Canis lupus familiaris: one gene and its partners. The protein of the gene in region 1 binds, or shares a complex with, the protein of each later gene. Links are inferred from orthologs where the notes say so. Each region holds a gene or a part of one and is shown in the gene's direction. Other genes may lie near its edges.

What was found.
Region 2: DDX46 (region 1) and SF3B3 share a complex: the UniProt entries of both Homo sapiens proteins name them as parts of the 17S U2 SnRNP complex. The link is inferred for Canis lupus familiaris from reciprocal best matches to the Homo sapiens genes DDX46 and SF3B3.
Region 3: DDX46 (region 1) and HTATSF1 share a complex: the UniProt entries of both Homo sapiens proteins name them as parts of the 17S U2 SnRNP complex. The link is inferred for Canis lupus familiaris from reciprocal best matches to the Homo sapiens genes DDX46 and HTATSF1.

Annotation. Positions count from the first base shown.
Region 1 is NC_049232.1:22,846,183-22,851,711, forward strand, and holds the start of DDX46 (probable ATP-dependent RNA helicase DDX46), read left to right. Parts: upstream 1-2,340; 5' UTR 2,341-2,515; coding exon 2,516-2,532; intron 2,533-5,529. UniProt on the Homo sapiens protein: Component of the 17S U2 SnRNP complex of the spliceosome, a large ribonucleoprotein complex that removes introns from transcribed pre-mRNAs.
Region 2 is NC_049226.1:77,098,277-77,103,116, forward strand, and holds part of SF3B3 (splicing factor 3B subunit 3), read left to right. Parts: intron 1-724; coding exon 725-880; intron 881-1,395; coding exon 1,396-1,539; intron 1,540-4,840. UniProt on the Homo sapiens protein: Component of the 17S U2 SnRNP complex of the spliceosome, a large ribonucleoprotein complex that removes introns from transcribed pre-mRNAs.
Region 3 is NC_049260.1:107,799,532-107,804,902, forward strand, and holds the start of HTATSF1 (HIV Tat-specific factor 1), read left to right. Parts: upstream 1-1,768; 5' UTR 1,769-2,037; intron 2,038-2,230; 5' UTR 2,231-2,292; coding exon 2,293-2,478; intron 2,479-4,186; coding exon 4,187-4,367; intron 4,368-5,220; coding exon 5,221-5,268; intron 5,269-5,371. UniProt on the Homo sapiens protein: Component of the 17S U2 SnRNP complex of the spliceosome, a large ribonucleoprotein complex that removes introns from transcribed pre-mRNAs.

The DNA of each region.
Region 1 (5,529 bases):
AGAGCGAAGAGAGAGGCAGAGACACAGGCGGAGGGAGAAGCGGGCTCCATGCAGGGAGCCCGACGCGGGACCTGATCCTGGGTCTCCAGGATCACACCCCAGGCTGCAGGTGGCGCTAAACTGCTGTGCCACCGGGGTTGCCCTCTAGTAGGCATTTCAAACATCACATCATTATATCAAATCCATTGATTTTCTCTCCATCCCCTGCCAAATTTGCTGCTTCGACCCCTTTCTCTACAAGATAACCACAATCCACAGCTCTCTTGAAAGCTTGAGAGTCCTCTTTATGCTCCTCTTTCCCTCACAGTTCACAGCCAATTTATCAGTATTTGGAGAGCTGCCTCTGGAATGCAACCAGAATCTGACCACTTTTCAGTGTCTCCATGTTTGTTTGATTTTTAAAGATTTTTATTTATTTATTCATGAGAGAGAGAGAGAGAGGCAGAGACGCCAGCAGAGGGAGGAGCAGGCTCCATGCAGGGAGCCTGATGTGGGACTCGATCCTCAGACCCAGGATCACACCCTGAGCCAAAGGCAGACGCTCAGCCGCTGAGCCACCCAGGTGTCCCTAGTATCTCCATGTTTAAGTCATTAGTGGTTTCCTATTTCTCTGAGACTGAAACCCACACTTGTTACCTTTAGCCTACTGACAAGCAAGGTAGAATGGTTCTGATATGTGCTCTCCATTATGTCAGGCATCAGCCCCGTGCCTCTTTTGCCCTGGGCATGGATTGTACTGCTGCTACAGATGGGCAGGAAGGCACAGAAGAAGAACAGAAGCTCTTCAGTTTCTTTTTTTAAAATCAAATTTATTGAGATGAAATTTACATACAGTAAAATGTGCCAATTTTAAGTTTACAATTCAATGAGTTTTGACAAATGTGTACATTCATGCATCAGCTGCCACAATTACAACCTAGAACTTTTCGGGGATGCCTCAGGGCTCAGTGGTTGAGTTTCTGTCTTTAGCTTAGGTTGTGATTCCAGGGTCCTGAATGAAGTCCTGAATCAGGCTCCCTTCATGGAGCCTGCTTCTCCCTCTGCCTATGTCGCTGCCTCTCTCTCTCTATCTCTCATAAGTAAATAAGTAAATAAATATTTTAAAAAAGCAGTCTACAACTCTTCTTCCTTAAGTATAAAAAAGTAAAATCGTAGAGGCATGTAAACTATGACAGCCTCTCTCTTAACTGCATTACAGCTTTGCATCAAAGCAGCACTTAACATTTCTGTATGTTCTGCTAGGTGAGTCATTCTCAATCTTAAGTGTACTTCAGAATCACCTAAGAAGCTTAAACATCCCAGTGCATAGGAGGCACTCCAGACCGAGTATATCAGAATATTGGTATGGAACACATGCATACATGTGTGTGTGTGTATATATATATATATATATAATTTTTTAAGATGTTATTTTTAGGTAATCTCCATACCTGGCCTGAGGCTTGAACTCGTCTCTCTGAGATCAAGAGTCACATGCTCTATAGACAGCCACCCAGATGCCCCATCATGTATTTTTTTTTAAAGCTTCCAAGCTCAGGGAATGTTGAGAATCACTATAATTTTAGGAATATATTCTTAGCTCTTCTTCCTCTTCTCCACCAACTTAACTCCTACTCAATCTTCACATCTCACCTTAAAGGTCACATCCTCAGGGAACTCTTTCTAAACCTCTCCCTTATGCTGTAATCTCTCTCTCTCTCTCTCTCTTTTTGTATTACATTTGCTTGTGTTTTTATGTCTATATCCCCCACTAACTTGTACTCCCTGGATGTAGGACGGACGTAACCCACACACACAACAATACATACCAATGGGACGCCTGGGTGGCTCAGCTGTTTGGCGCCTGCCTTAGGCCCAGGGTATGTTCCTGGGGTCTTGGGATCGAGTCCCACGTTGAGCTCCCCGCATGGAGCCTGCTTCTCCTTCTGCTTGTGTCTCTGCCCGCCCCCCCCCCCCCGTTTCTCTCATAAATAAATAAATAAATAAAACGTTTAAAACAAAAACAATACATATCAATGAATGTAATATAAATGAATGAAAGTGAATGGAGATGTTGGTAGCATCACTCAGCGCAGATTAAGGGGGACAGTATTATAGGTCGGGAATGCATACGGCGCCTCGGTAGCCCTTGGAGGAAAGATCTTCCCAGGGCCTGCAAAGCCAAGGCATCTTCCTCCACCGCACCAAAGCGCACAGACAGACCTTCTAGGCACTGCAGGGAAAACCCAGCCAAGGTCGCGCGCCTCTCGGCGCGGCCGGCGCAGTGCGGCCTCCAGCCCAGAGGGGGCGCTGTGGAGAGCCAGCAGCTTCCGGCCCGCTTGTCCCGTCTCTCTGCCGCGGCGCCCGCACGTCCTGTTTTCGTTGGCCGCTCTCGGATGGCCGCTGCAGCTGTATTTGCTGCTCCCTCTTAGTGCCTGCTACTCGCCGGGCTGGCCGAGGGCGGCGGGGCCTCCTTCTTTGTTCGGTTCTTCCGTGCATCGTCCCGAGGGGAGCCGCTGTCGGCGCGGGCGGCACCATGGGCCGGGAGTCGCGGTGAGACGGCGCGCCTAGCGGCCGAGCGGCGGGCGGCGTCCCCGGGGTGGGGGAAGAGGCGGGAGTTGAGGTGGCGGCGGGACCAGGCCTGAGCCGGTGCAGCCCCACGTGCGGCCAGCGCGGCCCGCGGCCCGCGGAGCGGCAGGGGGGCCTCGGCCGAGAGAGTGGCTGTCCTTGGGCCGGTGACGGTCACTGGGTTCCCAGCACTGCCATGGCCCGTTGCAGCGCCTGGAGCGGAGCCGCCCCTCCCGGGGGTCAGTGATGGGCACCACGTCCCGCCATTTCCGCGGGGCCCACCGTAATCCCGCAGTCACTAGTGATCCCCGTTGAAGTTCTTAGCAGTTCGCGTTTGCCACGTTTTCTGGGCGCCTGTTGCTATTTTAGTTCTTTGTGCGTGTCTCGTATTTTCTCAAGTCAGTCGAAAGGAGCCGAAGACTACGTATTTTTACATCACCTACAACATTGAACATGACTAGCCTTTTAGCAGGTTACAATACATGCTTGTGGCATGGAGATTATGTCGCAGATATATATCATATTTCTTTATTAGGTGTTTTCTATCCTATTAAAATTGTGGATTGGGGGGGAGGTCTTACTAGAATTATGGTATCTCTTCAAAACTTTAGATTGTTACGTGGTTTGGGACCTTGAGGCTTTTATCTTAGAGATGAATGTTTGCTGTGTATTTAGCAGTGAGTGAAAGGTCCTTTTTATCTGAGATATAAGTAATGAGTAAAGTAATAGTAGTTTATTGAAGTACAGTGAACGTTCAGGGAAATGGACAAAGCTTAAGGATAGAGAGCTGGATGAAAATTTAACAAATCCATAATCTGTGTAACCATCACCTGGATAAAGAGAATTTCTTTGTTTACAGAGAATCCCTGTGAAGATCTTCTAAAATTTCCTTGAAGGCTATTTATCTGGCTATGCAGACCAGGAACCTGGAAGTGATTATTTATTTGATTCATTTTTCTCTCTTAACTGTCTAAACCCAGTAAGATTCTACACTCTGTTTTCATTCTTGCTCTCCCTAACCTAATTCCAGCCCTGATCATTTAGTACTCAGAATGCTACACTTGCCTCAAATTATCTTCCTGTGATCTTGCTCTTCTAAAAATTCCTCACACTGCCGCCAGAGTGATACTTCTAGAATAAAGATTATGCCATTCCTCTCTTTTCATCTGCATTGATTCTCATTGCCTCCAGGATGAAGTCAGACTCTTCAGCACAGCCTTCAGGGCCCATCTCAAGGAAGCCTCTTATAGCCCCCCCCCCCCCCCTTGTGCTCTAGGTTAATTCAAGAAGTTATGAAAGGCTCAGAGGTGGGATGGAGCAAGGTGTTTGAGAAATAAGAGCCTAGTTTGCCTACATATATAGGTGTCATGAAGAAAAGTGGTAGGAGATAGGTTCTGGAAGGGAATTGGGTCCAGAATGTGAGTGGATTGTAGATTTAGTTTTGAAGGTTAGAATTTGAGAGTCTTTGAAGGTTTTGAGTAAGAAATGTGTACCTATGTTAATATAATGTGGTCAGAACTCTGTTTTACAAAGATTACTGTAGCAGCAACGAGTAAAACATTTCAGGGAAAAGGGCTTAGAAGTAAGAAGACAGAGATCTTCTAAAATGTCCTAACTAGAAAGCTCTGATGTGGAATAGTGAGTGAGAACTCTGAGGAGGTGATAATAGTGTGCAGAGAATTTACAGAAGTGAAATTAGTGATACTTCATGTTCTATTAGTTGTGTAGAATGAGAAAAATACTGAAAGTAACTGGTATTTTGAGCCTACTGACTACAAGTTGGGATGATAAATGGCTTGGGGAGGCAAAGGTAGTAAGTTTGGGTTTTACACATTGAATTTCAGGTGCTTGAGGGATGATGTGGTGCGCTTATTCCCTAGCCATCTTATCCATGTTTATTGCTTTAAGTAACCTTTGTATACTGATGATTCCCTTCAACTCTAGACTCGTGTTGCAACTACCTACTTACATATCCATGGGAATGCCTAATATCCTGATTCCCACCCACCCCCCAACATGTGTTCCTTCAGGCTTCCCATCTTAATAAATAGCAATTTTATCTTTCTGCCCAGTCCAGCCACGTAGCTCAGAAACACCCATGAATTCTCCCTTGCTGTCACGCTTGGCATTGAATTAATCCTTAAATCAGGCAGTTCTAGTTTGAAAATCTCTAGATTTTGACACGTCCTAGAAACTCTCCACCTAACATTCTCATCCAATGCACCACTTTCTTACTTGGATGATTGTGTTAGCATTCTGCCTGTTTTCCCTGCTTCTGCCCTTGGCTTCAATTTGCTCTCCCCTCAGCAGCCAGACCAGTGCTTTAAAAATATTAGTGAGGTAACATTACTTCTGCACTTAGAATCTTCCAGTAACTTCTCAACTTACAGAGAGTGAAAGAAAAAATCCTTAGAATCGCCTCTAAGGCTCTACAGGGCCTTCCATGTTTGGCTGCCCTACTGTATCTCTCACCTCATCACATGGCACTCTCTCTTGGTTGTTGAGCCTTAGCCACATCTGCCTTCCTTGCTGTTTCTTGAGCACACCAGTCAAGCTTCCTCCTCAGGGACTTTGCATTTGCAGTACCTTTTGCCTGAAAAGTTTCTCCCCCCTGTATCTTCAAGGTTCCTTTTATTTTCTTCAAACCTCTGAAATATCTGTTGATTGGCAAGTTTTTCTCTTACCACCTGGTATAAAATAGCAAACCTGTGCCCCGTCGTCTCTCTCTTCATTTACTCTGATGTGTTTTTCTCCATAGCACCACATGATGTATTGTGTATTTATTGCTTTAGTTGTCTCTCATCTCTTCATTTACCAGAATGCAAGTTGCTTAGGGCCCCAAGGCAGGAGTTTGGTCTATTCTAAAATTTTTGCTGTCCTTGCTTCCTTTTCAGTATAGTTTTTTCCTGTCTACACAGACTGTAGATAGCTACAGGCATCATTCCTTTCCCCAGATTTTAAGAGTTGATGAATAAAAAGTCA
Region 2 (4,840 bases), on another chromosome or scaffold:
CATGAGAGTTGTAGTTTGGTATTTAGATGATATTCACAAAAAGAATTGAGGAGGGAAAGTATACGTAAGGCAGTCCAGCTATTTGGGGGTGGGTATGGGATGGGAAGGGTAAGTTCATGTTGTAATTCTAACTGGAGTTACGAAATCCCATCTTAGTAGTGAAGTACTTGTTTTTTTTGCCCTTCACACTCTACTTTTCCACCAAATATTGGCCATGGGTTTTATTCAGTTTTTGTAATCTGAAGCCATTTCAGAAATTTGCTTTTGCTTTTCTGTATGGAAGGATGCTGGATATATTTAATTATCAGTCTCGGGAAGTTTCTGGCTGTGGCTAACCTGATAGTCTAACTGTACCTCTGATTGAGATTTCTTTGTCTTTTAAGTTCCATATTTGAATTCTCTTTCACCAAAAAGTATTCTCATGAACAGATAAGCAGTTTTCTGTATTTCTATTTGCTTTAGGAAATTTGTAGCAAGCATATTGTATTTGTCAAAGACAAAGATACTGTGTTGTCCCTTGAGTGTCTTGTCAGTAATTTTGCTTGCTGTTAGCCTGTAGAGTTCAGTCTTGGGATCTTAAGTAGAGAAATGCTTGGTCATTGATTATAATAAGAGGAGTGAGAGGAAGCACAAAGGAATTTAACAGTACCTCTTCCTTTCCTAGGCCCAGGGTTTAGGGGCGAGTTGGAGTGGTTTGTCACCTCTCTCTGTTTCATTTATGTAGTCAGGACAGCTGAATGAGTACACAGAGCGGAAGGAGATGTCAGCAGACGTGGTGTGCATGAGTCTGGCCAATGTGCCTCCTGGAGAACAACGGTCTCGCTTCCTGGCTGTGGGGCTGGTGGACAATACTGTCAGAATCATCTCTCTGGACCCCTCAGTGAGTGTTACCCTGGACTTCAAGGATCTTCTCACTGGAATCTGAGCTGCTGGCCCATTCCTGATGGGCATTTCTGGGATCAGCTAGGTTAGCCCCTGAAATCAGCATCTGCCACTTGTGATTATCATAGCAGCACACCTCAGGAGTCTTCTGCAGTACTTTAAAGATCCTAATCCCAGACTACTAAGTGCTTCCTTACCTTAAGCCTTGACTCCCTTTTATAGTTAAACAAAACCCAAAGACTTTGCAGAAAAGGAATCAGACTGGCTTTGGACCTTAGATAAGAATAAGTGCCCTTTGCTTATTTACATTTACCGTTATCCACTTTTATGGAAAGGAAAGCATGGTTCTTTCTAGAGCTTATTCTAACATTTGGTTTAACTAGTAGTAACCCATTTAGAACTCACTCTGTAAGATTCCCCTATCCACAAGAAAGTTGTTTCTTCACTCCTCAAATTAGATTTTTCCAAAATTGGTTATTTCCCATGTTTTATTCTTTTCTCTTTCCTCCTTAGGACTGTTTGCAGCCCCTGAGCATGCAGGCTCTCCCAGCCCAGCCTGAGTCCTTGTGTATTGTGGAAATGGGTGGAACTGAGAAGCAAGATGAACTGGGTGAGAGGGGCTCTATTGGCTTCCTATACCTGAATATTGGGTTGCAGGTAAGAGATCCAAGGCTCACATTGTTGTTTTTTTGTTGTTTTGTTTTTTATTTTTATTTAAAATTTTTTTTTTTACTTCTTCATTCATGAGAGATACACAGAGAGAGGCAGAGACATAGGCTGAGGGAGAAGCAGGCTCCTTCCTGGGAGCCCAATGGGAGACTCGATCTCAGGACGCTGGGATCACACCCTGAACTGAAGGCAGATGAGCATTGTTGATGTCAGGTCGTCTTTAGCTTTTATGCAGTCCTTGTTCAATATGGGCATTTGCTGAGCCTGTTCAGTTTACCACCTTATGAAAACTGAATGGTGCTGCTGTGTGTTCCTTTTCTCTTAGTACTAATCAGAAAGGTCAGGCCTAGGAAAAGATACTTTCATAAAGAAAGAGTCTTTGATATAAATGTGATCACTGCTTTGGGTCAGAACTAGAGGGAGTCTGAAGTGTCATCTGCAGTTTTCACAATATGCAGCTTTTGGAAACTAATACCTTTTGTTTTATAACGGACTCCTTTAGTAATAAAGGACCCCTAGATGTTTACTGTTGTCAAAGCATTGGGGCTTTTCAGAGCATGAAAAGCAGCAACCTAAGGATAGCAGAGTGTCAGTGTTTTTGACGATACACTTTTCGTTTTCCTTAATGATTATTTGTTCAGCTCCCTGGGTAAATAATCTAGCCCTGCTATGTCTTGCTATTTCTCAATTACTTCCTAATTGAGAAATTTCTCAAACATGCACAGGAGTTAGACTAATGTAACATGTACCCATCACTTGTTTTATTTTTTTATTGTATTTTTATTTTTTTAAGGATTTTATTTCTTTATTTATGAGAGACCCACAGAGAAAGCAGAGACACAGGCAGAGGGAGAAGCAGGCTCCCTGCAGGGAGCCCGATTTGGGACTCGATCCTGGGTCTCCAGAATCAGGCACCGGGCTGAAGGCGGCGCCAAACCGCCGAGCCACGCAGGCTGCCCTCCATCACTCGTTTTAATAGTTAACCAACATTCTACTGTTCTTGTTTTATCTATTCTTTGTTTTTTCTTTCTTCTGGGATATGTTAAAGCAAATCCAAGGTGATTTATCATTTCATCGATAAATCTTGAGAATGTAGCTCTACCAGATTTATGGGTTTTCTTTTTAGGCTTCAATTTTATTATCATGCCTAATACAACTTAACAGTTCTTTAATATCTGATACCTGTTTGTGTTCTGGTTTTTCTTGTTTCGTTTTTGTTTTTCCAGAAATGTTTTTGACTTTAGTTCTACCTAGGATCTGCATAAAGCTATCTGTAGTTTGCATCTGTGTGATCTATCCCTTTATGTTTCTTTTAATAAATTCTACTCCATTAAGTTTTTTTTTTTTTAAAGAAACTAGATCATTTTTTTTTTTAATTTTTATTTATTTTATGATAGTCACAGAGAGAGAGAGAGAGAGAGAGAGGCAGAGACACAGGCAGAGGAAGAAGCAGGCTCCATGCACCAGGAGCCCGACGTGGGTTTCGATCCCGGGTCTCCAGGATCACACCCTGGGCCAAAGGCAGGCGCTAAACCGCTGCACCACCCAGGGATCCCCAGAAACTAGATCATTTTCTTGAATTTCTACCTGCTGGCTTTGGCAGAGTCCTTCCTTGTGTGTTTGATGTTTATCTATCCTCTATTTCTTGTAAACTATTGGGTGAGTCTAGACCATGCTATTCATTAAAAATATAATGCAAGTCACATGTGTAATTTAAATACTCAAGTAGCCACAAAAAGGGAACAGATGAGGTTAATCTTAATGTTTTCTTTAACCCAGTATATTTTAAATGTCATTTCAATTTGTAATCACTATAAAAATTAACATAACTCATGTTCTCTCTTTTTGAACAAAGTCTTATTTTTAAAATATTTTTTATTTATTCATGAGAGAGAGAGGCAGAGACAGAGACAGGCAGAGGGAGAAGCAGGCTCCACGCAGGGAGCCCGATGTGGGACTCGATCCCGGGCCCCCAGGATCACACCCTGGGCTGAAGGTGGCGTTAAACCTCTGAGCCATCCAGGCTGCCCCAGATTTATTATTTTTGGGGGGGCCCAATAAGTGGCACTCTTTACTTTCTATTATATCAGGAGGCATGTAATGTCTGGCTATCCTACTTGTAATGGTGTTAAGATGTTTGTATGTATTTTAAATTATTTGCTCCCTGTCAACCTTTTACCTAGCAGCAGCTGTCGATGCCCATTGCCTAGATTCATTATGTCATTAGGGATTGGGAAATGACGATTTTCTGTTTCTTTCTTTCTTTTTTTTTTTTTTTTTAAAGCTTTTATTTATGAGCGCGAGAGAGAGAGAGAGAGAGAGAGAGAGAGAGAGAGAGAGGCAGAGACACAGGCAGAGGGAGACGCAGGCTCCATCCAGGGAGCCTGACGCGGGACTTGATCCCCGGTCTTCAGGATCAGGCCTTGGGCTGAAAGCAGCGCTAAACCACTGAGCCACCCGGGCTGCCCCGATTTTCTGTTTCATCTTCATTTCTTTAGCTGGAACTTGTCTCTGAAGACAAAATTTGCTTACCCCAAAGTATAGTTCGTATAGGGAAAGGATAAATACTTTGTTTTTCCCCTTGTTCATCTTATTTTCACAGTAAAGAGTTGGTGCCGTAGCAATCTCCAATGGGGGCTCAAGAAATCTATTTCTCTCTCTCTCTCTCTCTCTCTTTCTCTCTCTCTCTTTGATAACATAAAATTGCAGATTTTTATATATTTATGCTTTAAACTATTATGGTCTTTTCTCATTTTTGGATGCTAAATTGCCATCATTTTAGATGGGTGGGAGTTGGAGTTCCCTTTTGAAGTTAGCTTTTTTGTCCTTTTAACATGATGCCATTATCTTTGGGTGCTTCCCTCCTTATGGTACGGTAGAGTGCCCCTGTATATATCTGGAATATTCTTGCCCTAGAACTGAATTAGCTGTTTCTCTTAAGAGAGGGACACCTGGGTGGCTCAGTGGTTGAGGGTCTGTCTGTCTTTGGCTCAGGGCGTGATCCCGGAGTCCCGAGATCGAGTTCCACATTAGGCTTCCTACATGGAGCCTGCTTCTCCCTGTGCCTGTGTCTCTGCCTCTCTCTTTCTCTGTCTTTCATAAATAAATAAAATCTTAAAAAAAAAAAAAAAAGCCTTCTGAGAAATGGCATGTAGAGATCACAATAGGCCTCGTTATTTTAAGTATGCATGTATCCTTTTTTTTTTTAAAGACTTATTTATTTATTTTAGTGCGTACACACAAGTGAGGGGAAGGGCAGAGGGAAAGAATCTTAATGAGGCTCCCCACT
Region 3 (5,371 bases), on another chromosome or scaffold:
ACTTCTTCACAGCAGGCCTCTGTTCTGCTTATTAGGTTGCCTATGTGGGCCTCCCTGCCTCTGTGCTACTCTGACCATGTCCCTGCCCATTCCATACTCATTCCAGTCTCTAGACAAGGCAGTTTATTGGCTCATATAGCCAAATTCAGTCTAGGATGCAGGGCTACCCTATCAGGTCACCTCACAGGCCTCTGGGCAGCCTGTGGGCCACAGTGGCTGGGTCACATGGGACCTACGCATAAGGAATTTTTTTGGCCACCTGTTCAGAGGGGCCTGTGGATACAGCAGGCATTCAGAGGGTCACGAGCAGTAGTAGGGCTGTGTAACATATTATCACCTATGCTGTGAACTCACTCAGGAATGAAATGGGAGCCCAATAACACATTGCTGAAAACAGCTGTACACTATTTTGGGATCCAGGAAGAAATACTTAGCAATGCTTAAATAAGTGAGCCTAATAAAACTCATGTTATCTATATTATATATATAAAAAAGCATGCAAGTTCAGTTCTCCTGTAGTCTGGAACAGAACAAGAACTTCATGAAAAAGAAATGTACTTAAAAAAAAAAAAAACCAACTCAAACCCAAGCTACTATTTAAAAATCGCTTTAAGGGTTGAAACCATATTCTCACAGTCGGTATTTGGGGAGTTAAGATTTTCTAGAGCCCATACGCAACTGCTATATTTAGAAGTAAAAGATCACTGGGATAGCAGAACTAATTTCTTCTGGTAAGCTTTTTACCCTCACGTCTGGTTTATAAAATTTTACGTTTGTACATAAGAAGTTTATCATTGTTATTTTTAAAGGGATTTTTAAAAACCCTTTTAAACTGTTGTTTTTACTACAACAAATGTTGATAGAATCATCTACATAAACAAGTACGTCTCCCTTGAGCTGTGCCTGTGTTGTTGGCTGCTGGCTCGCCAGAGCCTAGCACAGTCCCTGGCATTTGGTTGCTCAATAAATATCTGCCCGATTAAAAAAAAATACAGACCTTTTTATTTTCTACGATAAATATGTAATTTGATAAAAAGCTGTGTAGAGGGAAAATATTCTGTACTTTTCTAAAAGAAAGACAAAAAACCCGAAGTTGCTGGGCCAGTAAAGCTGGTGCTTATACTTGGATGTTTTAAGTTTCAGGTTTGGAGCTTGAGCACCTCTGAATCGTGGCGTACAAGAGGCAGAAAACTACTGCTCCCCCCTGTCCCCCTCCGCCTTTCCAGAGTCGATCTTCAGCCTGAGAAAGTACCAGAGATAAAGGAGGGGCCTCAGGCTGGGAAAAGAAGGTTGGTCCCCACCCCGTTCGTTCGTTCATTCATTCATTCATTCATTTGCTCACTCGCTCATTCAATACGCACTAGACACCACACCCTGGGCTGGGAGCTTAGGCCAAGAAGCTGAACAAGAGCCGGCGCCCATCCTAGGGAAATCATAAAGAAATAAGCCAAAGTCGCGTTTCCCAAGCGGAACGGGGGAAGGAGGCCTGTCTTTTTCTCAGGAACACAAATCCGTCCCGCCCGCCCCATCCACTCCCCCAAGATGGCGCGCGCCGAGTGGGAACATTCCCACGCCTCCGGCTGCCGCCCACCGCGGCCTCCACCGAGCCCGAGGTCCCTAAGCGCAGCGGCCCCCGCGCCCCCACCCCGCCCCGCCCCGCCCCGCCCAGGAGGCCCGGGTGGGCAGCGGCGGGCGATTAGCAGCGCTCCCCGCAAGACGCCCCGCCCCTAGGGTCCAGCACTGCCCGCCCGCGTCGGCGCTTATTGACGCCACTGGAGGCGTGTCGGCGCGACCCGCGACGTCTCGACGTGCCAACAATGGCGACTGCGTCAGCCTGAGCGGGCCTCAGTTTTCCGGCAACCTCTTGACGTTGCCGCGAGGGCCACGGGGGCCGCGGGAGCCGCGGGAGCCGCGGGGGTTGCAGAGGCTGCAGGCGACTCCGACCCGGTCGGCGGCGGGGGCGGCGGCGGCGCGCGTGCGCGCTCCCGCCACGCCCTGGGTCGAGCCGCGGCGCCGAGGCCCGGTGGAGCGAGCCAGGTGGGCGGCGGCGCGGCAGGGGCTGCAGCCTGCGGCGCGCGCGCGCGCGCGCGGTGGGAGAGCGGGCGGAGCAGGGGGCGGCGCGGGCGCCGGTCGGCCCCGACCTCCCGGGGGCTGCTGGGGCGCCGCGGGGAGGCGTGCCGGGGGGCGGCGGGACGCGGGCCCAGTGCGACTGACCTCCCTTTCTCTATAGCCTCCGGCTGCATCTCGGCCTCTTTGCTCGCGCGGACCCTGTCCCTTGCCTAAGTCGGCAACATGAGCGGCAACAACTTGGATGGGAACGACGAGTTTGATGAGCAGTTGCGAATGCAAGAATTGTACGGCGACGCCAAGGACGGCGACACCCAGAAAGATCCCAGTGGAGAACCCGATTCTTTCGGGCAGCAGCCGGCTGACACCCCGTACGAGTGGGACCTGGACAAGAAGGCTTGGTTCCCCAAGGTACGACGGTGGCACGGGCGGCACTGCAGAGCGGGCCCGCCTGGCCAGCCTCGCGGGGCGCCCCTTTTCCGTTTTTCTTTGCTGAGGTCTTGAGTTAGGGCCCCATGGATAGTGACGTTTCTTTTTGTTGTTTCTGTTGCCGAACCGATGTTAGAGAAACGTAGATCTTTACCGAGATGTCTCGAATGTAATTTAATTCTTAAATCTCTTCTATGCCTTATTAATTTTGTCTGTGAAGGTCATGGTTGGTTATTGCATTGGTTACTGCTTTTTATTGCAAAGAGGAAAAACACCGAGAGCAAATTTAGTAGCTGTGGGTCTCTTGGATAGCCAACCTCATATACCCTAGGAATTCTGATGTTTGCTTAGCTTGTGTACTTTGTGCAAAATGCAGCTTCTTGGTTTTGAAAAAAAAATAGCCATTTATATCCCTTTATAGATTGAACTTGATCTGCACCTCTCTTTCCTATCAGATTTTGTCCCTAGGCATGTGTGTTCGAACCATACAACCACAGGCACGGAATATGGATAGAAGATATCTGTGTATATTTGTGTAGAGTGCTTGGAAATTGTTAAGTATTTTATTCCAGGTTGTAAGTAATGTAACCGGTGTTAACTTGGTTCTGCAAACTTTTCAGCAAAAGTACCCTGTTAATCAAAGTCTCATGTGGGTGGGAAAATATACCAGTAGCAATCAACTTGCAAGCTGGTAATATAAGCCATGTCTCCATTGTGTAGTTTGACTGTTATTCTTAAAATTATTTGTTTCAATTTTTTTATTTTCCTTTTTGTTTTTGTATACTTCATTCCCTTTACATTGTTACATTTATTATTTTGCTGGTTCTGGTCATCCCAGCTCCAGAGCAGATTTGGTTTCCTGAGGACTTTTAACAATAGTCTGATAATGGATTCATTTGTGACTCTTATCTTTTTATGTTATTGAAACCCATACCTCTTGAAACTTTGAGTTTTAAAAATTCCCCACTCCTGTATGTGCGTAACATTGACCAGAATGAAGGCAGACTCCTATTTCTTTCATTGTGCAACTGGGCTTTTTTTCCCCTAAAAGCCAGGAGGATAGATGGATGTGAGTTGAATTTGTTCTTAGTTTGTTCTGACACTAAAAGATTGTGTCATTTAATTAGTGAGAGAGTGAAAATAAGCATTTAGTTTTACAATCGTTAGTTCTATTCTCTATATACTAAATCAGTTTTATCTTGTGTGTTCTCTACATACAGACACTCAAATATTTAATGCGTGTATACTTTTGTGTATCTCTGTAGCAAAAGAAAAATTGATTCTGTTGTTAGGTTATTGACTGTTGGTTTTTGTTATATTGTTATCTGGTACTTCCTTTATTGTATGTACTTGTAGCCTTACTCAAGTAGACTGTAGAGAGGTAGTGATTTATAAATGAATCAACTAGAAAATGCGCCAACACCACTTACAGTGCCAATAATTTCCTTAAGAGTTTTGTGTTGATAATCCAAATACCCATCTTATTTTTTTTTGTCATTTTATGCACATTTTCTGTATAACATGACTATTCTTGCATTTACACTTTATTTACTACAGCCATTATCTGTAGAAACATTTCTGTGTTCAGTTGTATAACCAAATATGCAGAAATTTATCACAATGTACACTTTTTATGGGAAGAAGTCATTTTCAAATTTCTATATGTGTGTGTGCTGAATTTTTTGTTTAGATCACTGAAGATTTCATTGCTACATATCAGGCCAATTATGGCTTTTCTAATGAGGGGGCATCTAGCTCTACTGCAAATGTGCAAGAAGTCAGTGCTAGGACTGCAGAAGAACCGCCACAAAGAAAAACCCCTGAACCCAATGATCCCAAAAAGAGGGGAGAAAAGAGAAAGGCTGAACCAGGCAAGTGGATTTAGCTTGCAAAATATGAACATAAAAATGTTAAATGTTAGCATGTGTATATATGATTACTATTTGAAGAATTATAATAGTCTTGAAGGAATCATAAGATGAAGGGTTTTTTTATTATTATTATTTAGATTTATCCATTGGCTTGCACACTGACTTGTGGGCATTGGGGAGGCTATTTCAATTCTGTACCTCAGTTTCTTCCTTTGTAAAATAGAGCTGTTATTAGGGGATCATCAGAAATTCTGTTTTTTAAGGTAATTTTCTGATATTTTTTGAGTTTAATTAAATTGAACTCAAGGCAGTATTGCCTCAGCTTGGCCATATCCAACACAGTAGATTGAAGTCAGAAGCAATTTATGCATGCAGGCCCAAAGTCAGTGCAAGGATGAGTTTTTTTAAGGTAGTATCAGAATCATAAATATCTAACATAACTAGCCATCCTTTTTCATTTTTTTAAAGATTTTATTTATTTATTCATGAGAGACAGAGAGAGGAGTTCAGAGACATAGGCAGAGGGAGAAGCACGCTCCATGTAGGGAGCCCAGTGTGGGACTCGATCCTGGGACCCCAGGATTACATCCTGAGCCAAAGGCAGGTGCTCAACTGCTGAGCCACCCAGGTGTCCCACTAGTCATCCTTTTTCAGACGAGTCTCTGAAACTAATTATGTGTCAAAAGATTCAAGTACTTTGAAATCTAGACAGTGATTTGGGTTAGTTTCTCTTGTTCTAAGGGTAAAAAAAAAAGTCCTGGAAGTTTCAAGAAACTGCTACATTGTCAAGATTTCATAATATGACTCTTAACTCTCCTCGTATGTGTTTTTTTTTTTTCATTTTGATTTTTAGGATGGTTTCATGTTGAAGAAGACAGAAATACAAATGTATATGTGTCTGGTATGTATACTCTTATGTTTGTTTGTTTTAAGTAGGTTCTATATCCAGCGTAGGGATTGAACTCATGACCCTGAACTCAAGAGTACATGTTCTACCAACTGAG